3 linked regions of the Macaca fascicularis genome follow. The protein of the gene in region 3 interacts with the protein of the main gene of each other region in a pairwise test. Links are inferred from orthologs where the notes say so. Each region holds a gene or a part of one and is shown on either strand. Other genes may lie near its edges.

Region 1 (3,855 bases), on a different chromosome or scaffold from region 3:
ACGTTCAATTACCTAGGTAATACCAGCTGAGAAAATTGATGGAGTATTTGCTGCCTGTCAGAGTGGCTCTTTTGACAAACTAGAAGCTGTGGTCAAGGTAAAGTCAGCTTACTAACTTTGGGGAAAGGAATATTAAATGATCATACCAAAAGTTTTTTTTTTAATAGGACTTAATAGATGAGGGTCATGCAGCAACTCAGTTCGTCAGTCAACTCCATGATGTGGTTGTAGAGAATAATTTATCTGATAAACAGAAGTCCATTATTACAGAAAAACTTGCCGTAAGTAGGTACTTTGCACATGTCAATTAAACATTTAACTACCTGAAGGATGCTAATTTCTTAAATTTTTCTTGTAGGAAGTTGACAAATGCCTAGCAGATGGTGCTGATGAACATTTGCAACTCATCAGCCTTTGTGCAACTGTGATGCAGCAATTATCTCAGAATTGTTAAAAAGTGAATATATTTTGATGTGGGGTTTTGTAAATAAGGGGGTTGTAATAAAAATGACCAAAAGCACCTTTAAAGTGAATATACAATTTATTTAACATTCAAACTTCATTAAGACATGTGCAATATGGCAATTTTACTGGGGATTAAACCCTACCTAGGATGATTGCTTGCTGGGGCTTAGCAACAGGGTCCAGTTCACACTTAGCACTAATTAAATACTTTATTGAATAAATACAATACCAAACAAAATGCATTCAAATGCTTTCTAAAAAAATTTTAAAGGCCTTTCTACTCAGGCTAATGACAAACACAATAAAGGCAGATATGCTAGTTTAACATAATTGGCTGATTTTATACAGCACTTATATCTTTTAGTCCACAAGTATATTATTAAATGATAGAGAACATCTAATACAACCATTTCTACAGAACTAGGAAATAAATTTCTAAGAAAGAAAGATTTTACAGACCCCATCTTTTATACCCACCCCAACAGTCTAACTCTAAAGAGGATAAAGCCAATGACTTTCCTCACAAGAGCTCACGACTAATGTCGCTTTGCTATCAAAATCTGTATTTCTGATCCGTTATGAGCATTGAGACAAGATTCAAATATTCCCAAAGAAAGAAGCACAATGCACGTTGTGATCGCCTATTCAGCAACAGCGAGCACTGCATCCAAAACTCTCATCCCAGGAATTAAATAAGGTCAGCCACATTCATGGGCATCTCCTCCACTGTAGTATTGTAGAAAGTCTCAATGTCACGAAGAATCCTCTTGTCTTCTTCAGTAACAAAGTTTATAGCCACACCTTTCCTCCCAAATCGACCCCCTCTGCCAATTCTGTGTAAGAAAAAAACAATCAGAATGTTACTTCTCACATAATTTATGAACTACTGAACATGACGATCCACTTGTTAACCATCAGCTGCTGTTTACTTATCAAGGTTATAGTTCGTGCTTCTAACTGGAGCACTAGCTGCTAATGCATATCTAGAGAAAAAAATCTTCCTTTGCAGTTAGTGCCAAAAGGATTCAAGGCTTGTCTGGCTGCAAAATGAGATTTTTATCAGGCATCTTGAGCATTATTATAAAGCAGATGACAGTATTGTGTTTGGGGTAGTGAAATTAAAGCCCATACCAAAGTGGGCCAGCCAAGAGCAGGTGTCAGCCTGGGACAGATGTAAACACCAGGAATAAAAGAGCAGTTATGTAATCCATTTCGACGCACTTCTGGAACTGTAAACTGTAAACAAATGCTGCAAAGGTTAACTATTTTCTAAAACTTACTTTTTTCCAGTGGGAAAACAAGTTATTTGGTATGGTAACCCAAACTTATCACTGCTTTTTTGCTCAGTTTCACACGTTGTAACTCAAATTACTCAAAACGTGTTTAACCGCCAAACAGCTACCTTCATGTTAGAAACCAGACAATACAAACCACCTAGTAAGAAAAGTTCCCTAACAGAAATACTAATACGAAAGATGCCTCAGCTGGAGCAACTTAAAATAAATAATCATGACAAAAGAAAAACAAATATAAATACCGACTCGCTCTTTATTCAAACAGTGTGCTGTTTCGCTTATGATTCCACGTCCTAAATTACGTCAACGCCGTTTCTGAGTGCCATCTCGTCATCAACTGCTGCTATCGACTCCTGTATTTTTTAAAAAGTCTTTTTTTACATCACATAACAAAGTACGATTCAATTTATTTAGGGATAAAGCCACTATAACTAAACCAGGGTTCACTCAAATTGCTACCAGGCGACACCAAGAAAATCCCAACTATGGAAAAAATCAAGAAAAAGCACATGGACACAAGAACATCACTAAAAGCTCAAGCATAAGCTAAGACCAACAATTGCGGGGGAAAAAAAAACCTATGCCCACAATCTGAGCAATGTTTACAAGTTTTCCCACTTTGTTCTCGTCAGCCTTCCCCTAGTACAAATTTAATTACATCATCTTACTGAACACTACTGACTTGACTGAATCTATTCCTTGATTTGATGTTACCTTTCATACAAATCACAGTAGAAAAATGTATGAATTTTTTTTCAATACATCCAAGATGCTGGCTTCTCACCTGTGAATATAGTTTTCACGATTGGTAGGTAGATCATAATTTATAACCAAAGACACTTGTTGCACATCAATCCCGCGAGCCTGAAACACAATGGCATATGTTAAAAATTCTAATTCAAAAAACATGGTACCTGTCATGTAGGCCACAAAATAGTAGCGAACTATACTAAGTGGTATAGCCCACTGTGGAGTGTGGTCCTTTTACTCTTCCAAATAGCCCAAGCTGGCAAAGGTTACTTAAAAACCTTCCCCCCAAAAAGCTAACTTTTGGTAGATTTTTAAAAAGCATTAAGAGACTTACCAACAAGTCAGTAGTGATCAGAACACGACTTGACCCTGACCGGAATTCCCTCATGATAACATCTCTCTCCTTCTGGTCCATGTCACCATGCTGCAAATTAATAAACCTTAATTCAAGAATCACCAGTCAGGTCAGTAATTTTAATCAACATGTATGAGACCAAGCGTCCCTGGCTGCTACAGGAATATAGCAGACAGGTATAGTTAAGAAACAACTTTATTTTGAGCAGGGGGAACGACAACACAGCACTTAGCAGCTATATTGTAGTCTGAATCCTGCTTTAGTGGAAATCCAGACATTTTAGAACACCTCTTACCAGAGCAGAAACTGTGAAGTCTCTGGCATGCATTTTCTCAGTCAGCCAGTCCACCTTGCGCCTTGTATTGAGAAAAATAACAGCTTGCGTAATGGTCAGTGTCTCGTACAAGTCACAAAGTGTATCCAACTTCCATTCCTATAATGTTTAGAAGAGAAAGTTAACAGTCATTTAGCTTTTCCAACTTTCTTCAGTTAAAAATACATTCTGGGCCAGGCACAGTGCTTATGCCCATAATCCCAGCACTTCGGGATCCCAACACTTGAGCCCAGGAGTTCCAACCAGTTTCCAGATAGTGAAACCCTGTCTCTACCCAAAATACCAAAATTGGCCCCTCTTAGCCAGTCTCAAAACGTAGGGGTCTAATGAGATATTGCACCAAATCTTAAGACAAAGGACATTGGACATTAAGAAAGAGGTCCATCCCAGTCTTTACAATCTAGTGCTGTTACTTTTCTTCTTGTGTGTACTCTGCTAGCATTATTGCAAAAACCAAGACATAGTCCTAGTGTCTGCAATTTTAGCACAGTGCTTATACAAGAAGGTAAAATAATGTCTAACAATCAGTTACCTCTCTCTCAACATTAATATAAAACTGTTTGATTCCTTCAAGGGTCAATTCTTCCTTTTTCACCAGAATTCGAATTGGATCTCTCATGAATTTTTTGGTCACTTCCAACACATCAGTTGGCATT
Region 2 (3,730 bases), on a different chromosome or scaffold from region 3:
CTGATTGACTCCTGATTTGAATAAACTAGGAATGAGAAAACCTTGGAATCTCTAAAAAATACTATATTTTAACATTACATACTCTTTTTCAGACTGCAATTACATGCCTGTCTACTGTTCTATCAATTGATTTCAAACCTTCAGAAATAGAAGTTGGAGTAGTGACAGTTGAAAATCCTAAATTCAGGTGAGTGATATTGTGGGCCAAATGCAGACTAGAAAGGTGGAGGCATGTGAGTTCATGTGTCCTATAACTTGTGGGGGAAATCTTTTTTCTGTAACTGCCATTATAGTTTTGTTTTTTTTTTCCCCTAGCACCTGAGATCTGTTTTAAAACTTACTGTACTCTCTTTAAGAGTCAGATATGAAAGCTTTTCTCCTTATTTCATAGTGGTTTTATATCTTGACACCAGAGATAACATAAAGTTACCTTCCTACCTTCCTTATGTAAGGAAAAAAGTTAGCATTGTGTTTTCTTTTTTTTAGTTTAAGGCCAATACAAATTCAATTCCCAAAGTAGTAGTTTGCAAGTTTTTCAGATAGAACTTTGGTTATTTAGTGGTTGTTTAAGTAGAACTTTTAGGAGCAATATGAGCTACTGATATATGTCAGACCCTTATCTGGAGATCTTTGGAAAGCCCACATTTTGAATACAGCTATTTGACTTGCAGATGCTGGATATGGGTGTGAGTGTTCTTACTCACTAAGTGACTAACTCCCACACATCAGCCTTCTAACTTCCATGATTCAAATCCATACTGAGTGCTTCACATAGTCAGTTCATTTAATCCTCCCAGCAACCTGTAAGTCAGTTTATATACCATGGACCAGGATGTGTTATATTTAACTAATGAAAATACTACAGTTAAATCCACAGATGCAAGGAACTACTGGGAGGCATTTTAACTATGAGGTGTATCTACTGTTAGATCACAACCATAAAGACACATGATCAGGGTTGTGGTGTGGGTATGGGAGTGGTAAACTAAGCTTAACTAGACCTTGAAGAGGTTTTTCGTTTTATTTATTTATTTATTTATTTTTTCCTAATTTGTTCTTTTGGTTGCCCACAGATAAGTCATATAAACATGACAGATTTAGAAGAATTCATAGGACTTTAAAAAAAAAAAAAAAAGACAGGAGCTGGGTGATGTAGCATGCATCTGTAGTCTCAGCTCCTCAGGAGGCTGAGGCAAGAGGATGGCTTGAGCTTTGGAGTTGAAAGCTGTAGTGCACAATGATAGTGCCTGTGAATAGCCACTCTACTCTAGCTTGGTTAACATAGTGAGACCCCATCTGTTTAAAAAAAAAAAAAAAACAATAGCAACAACAACACCAGAACCGAATCTGTCTTAGCTTTTTTTCCCTATAGGAAGAAGTCTTATAACTTGGATTGGGGTAGGGGTGAGGTGTGGGGGTGGAGATCAAGTTGCTTTCAAAAAAGGTGCCTTTTTTTTTTTTTTTTAAAGCAGTAAAAATTTCAGCAATAATAATTTTAAAATCTCTCTAAGAAACCTACAATTAGTTCTTGTTTTCTTTTCTGTTTGGAGACCTTCCTGCCACCTTTAAAATTGTATTTGTATCTGTTATTTTTAAAATTGGTAAGGAACCAAAAACCTTGTCTTCAAAAAACTTTGTATCATTTATAAGTTCTGTGATAGTAAATATATGTAAATAATTACAATACATAGCATAAGCATCAACAACTATTTAAACTGCTTAATATTGCCTTCAGTTGCACTAAAAAATGTTCTTTTGACAAATTGTACTTGTTAGAAGTCTAGTAGTAATAGGTCACATTAACAAGGTTGCCAAACAATTGATTCCTTTCGAGGCAAACATCATTTAGAAAATACATGTTCAGGGCCGCACATGGTGGCTCACGCCTATAATCCCAGCACTTTGGGAGGCCATCGTGGGCAGATCACTTGAGGTCAGGAGTTTGAGACCAGCCTGGCTAACATGGTGAAACCCCGTCTCTACTAAAAATACAAAAATTAGCCGGGTGTGGTGGTGGACGCCTGTAATCCCCGCTAGTTTGGAGGCTGAGGCAGGAGAATTGATTGACCCCGGGAGGTGGAGGTTGCAGTGAGCCAAGATTATGCCACTGTACTCCAGCCTGGGCAACAGGGTCAGACTCCATCTCAAAAAAAAAAAGAAAGAAAATATGTGTTCAACATGGAACATTCTCTGGCTGGTAGACTATTCATAGAATTACAACTTTATTTTCACTGAATCTGAACACTTTAATATGCTTAAAATTTCTTCACGAATTTTTATCTTTGAGCTGACATAAATTTGAGTTATACTACATATAAATGTATTTTGACGGCCGGGCACAGTGGCTCACGCCTGTAATCCCAGCACTTTGGGAGGTCGAGGCAGGTGGATCACGAGGTCAGGAGTTCCAGACCAGCCTGGCCAATATGATGAAACCCCGTCTCTACTAAAAATACAAAAATTAGTTGGGCATGGTGGCACGTGCCTGTAGTCCCAGCTGCTTGGGAGGCTGAGGCAGAAGAATCACCTGAACCTGGGAGGCGGAGCTTGCGGTGAGCCGAGATCACGCCACTGCACTCTAGCATGCGTGACAGAGCAAGACTCTGTCTCAAAAAAAAATTTAAAAATGAAAATAAATGCCTTTTGACATAGAAGCTAAATAGAATGCTTTATAGTTTAGCTTTATATTATTCAATTGAAATATTTTCTATCTTAGCTGCAACTAAAGAATTTTGTTTTCAAGATACAATTCTAAATCTGATGTCAAATAAGTAAACATTTTTGTGTATAGGTGAAGGTGATATATTATCTGGGAATTCTTTCAAAATCTGAGGGAGGATAAGTGTGTGTAGATTGGTTTATAAATTGATAATTGTTGAAGTAGGTCAATAGATATATGGGAGTTGATTATACTATCCTACTTTTATGTGTGTTTGAAATTTTTTTTTAAATGGTTGGTTTTTTCCCCCTTTTGCCTTCTAGGATTCTTACAGAAGCAGAGATTGATGCTCACCTTGTTGCTCTAGCAGAGAGAGACTAAACATTGTCGTTAGTTTACCAGATCCGTGATGCCACTTACCTGTGTGTTTGGTAACAACAAACCAACATTATGGAGGTCCCTGGATTGAAAAAGGAACCTCTCCCACTCCTCCTGCCACTGAAGTGGTTAGGACTCTATATAAATAAAAACAACGCTTTTGGAAAATAATTGCATCCTGTTGTTTTCACCTCCTATTTTAAAATTTATTTTTGACGCCTAATGTACATATTTATGGGGTACAGTGTGATGTTTCAATACATGTATACATTATAATGATCAAATTAGGGTGATTAGCCTATCCATCACCTGAAACACCGTGTTTTTGTGGTGAGAACATTTAAAATCCTCTCCTTTAGCTATTTTGAGGTACACAATACTTGATCTGTTTTTTGTTTTTTGAAACAAGATCTTGCTCTTGCCCAAGCTAGAGTGCAGTGATGTGATCATGGCTCACTGCAGCCTCGAACTCCCTCGTTCACGTAATCCTCTTGCCTCAACCTCCTTAGTAGCTGGTACTGCAGGTGTACACCATTGCACCCAGCTAATTTTATTATTTGTTTGTAGAGTTGGGGTTTTACTATGTTGCATGGGCTGGTCTCAGACTCCTGGCTGGCATTAAGCGATCCTCCTGCCTCAGCTTCCCAACATGCTGGGATTACAGGCATGAGCCACAGTGCCTGGATCCAGAGT
Region 3 (3,568 bases):
TAAGCACATAATTGCTGACAAGAGATAAGAACACAAAAATGATTAGAAGGGGATGGGAGAAATCAGATCAGCTTTTCTGTAGCAAAGACCCTTTAAGTACACCTGGCAGAAAGAACGGGATTTAGGGAAGCAGAGCAGAAGAATGAGTATCCCAGGCTGACAAAACAGCCTATGCAAAGCTACACTGCACTCGGCCTGAGGGGCTATGCAGGGGCAAAGGTCGAACCTTAAGCATCTCGAAGCCCGACTGTAAGCACTTGCCCTCCACCTCTGCAGCCAAGTGGGCCAGGTCCCGGCGCTTGTCCCCAAGGTGGGCAGCATTTTCTCGGAGTCGCTGCAGAATGTCCTGTTCCTCTTCTTCTAGTCGTGAAAGCAACACCTGCTGCTCTTCATCCAGCCGCCTGTGAAGCTCTTCAAACTCCCTTAAGATCTGCTGTCGGCGACTTTCCACTAGTCTCTGAGAAGAGGGAAGATGTTATATCAGCAGGGTCAGTGTGGTATAAGGAAGCCTTTCTCTCACCCACCATATGTATGAATTAACACAGACTTCCAGTTTCACCGAAAATGGTTTAACAAAGGCTGGGTGTGGTGACGCATGCCTGTAATTCCAGGCTAAGGGAGGTGGATTGCTTGGGATCAGGAGTTCGAGACCAGCCTAGGCAACATGGTGAAACCCCAACTCTACAAAAAATAGACAAGACAGAAAGACAGAGAGAAAGACAGAAAGAAAGAAAGAAAAAAGAAAGAAAGAAAGAAAATGAGAGAAAATGGTTTAACAAGACAGGGAAGACAAGACAGACAAAGACAAGAAAGACAAGAATGACAAGACAGAAAGACAGAAAGATGGACAGACAGAAAGGAAGAAAGAAAATGAGAGAAAATGGTTTAACAGAACACTCATGTTTTATTCCACTGGAATTTCCTTCTGTAAAGAATGGCTCCATCACTATCACTCCCCTACTGATGACTTGGTAGTGAAGACCACTGGGGACATATATATATATTTTTTTAACTTAAGATAAAAAACTCAATAATATGATGACATGCACTATTACAGATATCAGAGATATCTGTGTTATTATCAACTGTAAAGTTCTAGTTAATTCAATCGGTCGAGAAAAGGAAAGTACAGGCTGAGCATGGTGGCTCATGCCTGTAAGCTTAGTGCTTAGGAGGCCCAGGTGAGGGGATCACTTGAGGCCAAGAGTCCAAGACCAACCTAGAAAACAGTGAGACCTTGTTTCAACTAAAAAGAAAAAAAAAATTAGTCGGGCGTGGCAATGCACATCTGCAGTCCTAGCTACTCAAAAAGCTGAGACAAGAGGATGGATGGCTGGAACCCTGGAGTTTGAGTTAGTGTGCTGTGATTACTACTGCACTCCAGCCTGGGTGAGATTCTGTCTCAAAACAAACATGAAAAACAATGAAACGAAAAGGAAAGTACAAATACTAAAAAGTTAAAAATAAGATTGTCATCTTTTGCATATTGCAACACATCCACCAGATAAAAACCAGAGAACTGTGAAAATACAAGAATCAGTAAGAATTCTATGGGTTATTATAAAATATACATATGTAGATTTCAGGGCTGAACTTGTTAAATTGTTTCAAGTCACTTCAGAGAATTGGCAATTCCTACCCCAGAAACAGGTTACAGAAGTTTGTTAGTAATTTAGTTTCTTGAAATTTGAAACATGCTTTCTCTAAGCCAGCACATAGACTCTAACATTGGGCCTCTAACATTTCTGAAATTTGGTAATACAGGATTCAAACACCAGCCATAACACTTTCTGAGAATTATCAGTACATTCTCTCTTCTGCATCTACACTACAACAAATAGTGATCTCCCTAAAGAAAGAATTCCCCAAGCATCATGTGACTGATGGTGAAGCAAAGTGAGAAGCAGAGACTGGGACTCTAGAAGGAAGTGGATAGGGAACGAAAGGCAGGCCTGAGGGTGAAGAGAGGGTGGGGACGCAAAGCCAGGATGGGCCTGACAAGCGTGGCATTTGTGGATTCAAGCTAGTTCCTGGCAGAAGCTGACCAGCTCTTCTAGTTTAGGGCCACTTGCTACTTCACTTTCCACCACTGCCTTCTCAGTGTACATCTGAACAAAACATATTCTCACATTTGCCCTCAATAAAACACAGCCTTTGTGTGTGTGTGTGTGTGTGTGTGTGTGTGTATGCATGTGTGTTTGTTTAGGTAGGGGTGCAAGTTTAACATTTATGACTGTGATAAATAGGAAGCAAAAAGGCTCTTCCTCTTATAAACCAGTAATCTCTTCTCTTTTTTTCACTCTATATTTTAGGGCAGTGGTTCTTAATGAAGGTGTTATCACCCTCTGAGGATATTCTGGAAATGGGCACATCTTCTTGTTTTCCATAGTTGGGGAAGTTCCTGACAATGACGCTAGCACTCCTCCAATGACAATCCGGCATAGTGAACTGACCTGCAACATTTTCTAATGTTCTGCTGGGTATTCAAAAACATAGGCTTGGGCTTGAATATCATTTTATGTAGTATAAACACAGAGTAATTCTTACATGGTTTTACCATACATAAATTTTTCAGCAATAGCTAAATAAAACACAAGATTATATTCTGTTATACTTAGAACTTTACCAAAAGTTATTATTATGAAAAATCGTATCACCAAGAGCTAAGCTACTTAGTGTTTCAATCACATTGGCACACATCCATCTCAGTCTGAATTTGTATTTATATGTTGCTGATAATGACACATATAGGTGCAAGCATATAACCAGCTATACTGTAAAGTCTTTCAGGGTAGTCATGCCCAAATATTACATACCACATTTTATCATCAATTATGTTTCATTACATTTGGACATGATAGACTCTTTAAAATTTAAAATTATGCACATAGGTTATTTTACCTGCAATTTTCAGTTCAGCATAATTACAAATTATTTTTAAAAGGGGCATTGAGTCTGATGAGGGAGAAGGAGGGAGAATTCAAATGGTCACAAGAGGAATGTTGGTGGTAGTTTTGGAGATCACTGACATGACAATTTACAATTTTAAAAAAAACATGACATTTCTGTTTAAGCATTTAGAAGGTTTTAAAAAAGTATATTTCCATCTCTATTCTTTACCTTCAAGAAGATGACCAACATGAAGAAGAAAGCTAATGACTAGCAATAAGCACCATTTTCATATTTTTAGATTTCTCAGAAGGCCTCTAAAAGAACAAAAAACTAAAAGTTCACGTTTGTAACCAAAATTGGTTCAAATTTTAAAAATTTCAAATGCTTACTTTGCTAAAATGGGTAAGGCACTAAGGTAATAATACTTGCTTTCTGATGAAATGTTGTCATTCATTTAAAAATTCATGTTTCTATGAATCAAAACTTGTATTTAGCTTCTGGTGATCCCTACGTCAACTCTTAAAAACTCATCATTCTTTGGGAAACCTTTAAGGAGGCCAAATTTCTATGTTGTCTTCTTATGAACTTGCACCTGTGCATTTTGTGCCATTACTAATTTTCTCCACTTAACTTTAAGCTCAAGGAGGGCAGGAACTGTGTTTTGGCTCATCATTGT

What was found. The genes of interacting proteins can lie anywhere in the genome.
Region 1: the proteins of TRIM39 (region 3) and EIF4A2 interact in binary tests that used the Homo sapiens proteins (3 or more experiments, as listed by UniProt). The two-hybrid records come from large-scale screens. The link is inferred for Macaca fascicularis from reciprocal best matches to the Homo sapiens genes TRIM39 and EIF4A2.
Region 2: the proteins of TRIM39 (region 3) and PSMA6 interact in binary tests that used the Homo sapiens proteins (3 or more experiments, as listed by UniProt). The two-hybrid records come from large-scale screens. The link is inferred for Macaca fascicularis from reciprocal best matches to the Homo sapiens genes TRIM39 and PSMA6.

The regions. Positions count from the first base shown.
Region 1 is NC_088376.1:11,706,542-11,710,396, forward strand, and holds the end of EIF4A2 (eukaryotic initiation factor 4A-II), read right to left. Parts: coding exon 3,732-3,855; intron 3,707-3,731; exon of another isoform or gene 3,529-3,706; intron 3,299-3,528; coding exon 3,161-3,298; intron 3,126-3,160; exon of another isoform or gene 2,994-3,125; intron 2,935-2,993; coding exon 2,845-2,934; intron 2,818-2,844; exon of another isoform or gene 2,679-2,817; intron 2,625-2,678; coding exon 2,545-2,624; intron 2,114-2,544; exon of another isoform or gene 2,003-2,113; intron 1,299-2,002; coding exon 1,154-1,298; 3' UTR 523-1,153; downstream 1-522. Other genes in the region: RFC4 (replication factor C subunit 4), read left to right, coding at 17-97, 168-281, 359-454. UniProt on the Homo sapiens protein: ATP-dependent RNA helicase which is a subunit of the eIF4F complex involved in cap recognition and is required for mRNA binding to ribosome.
Region 2 is NC_088381.1:103,130,513-103,134,242, forward strand, and holds the end of PSMA6 (proteasome subunit alpha type-6), read left to right. Parts: intron 1-92; coding exon 93-187; intron 188-2,982; coding exon 2,983-3,040; 3' UTR 3,041-3,208; downstream 3,209-3,730. UniProt on the Homo sapiens protein: Component of the 20S core proteasome complex involved in the proteolytic degradation of most intracellular proteins. This complex plays numerous essential roles within the cell by associating with different regulatory particles.
Region 3 is NC_088378.1:142,312,697-142,316,264, forward strand, and holds part of TRIM39 (E3 ubiquitin-protein ligase TRIM39), read right to left. Parts: intron 458-3,568; coding exon 227-457; intron 1-226.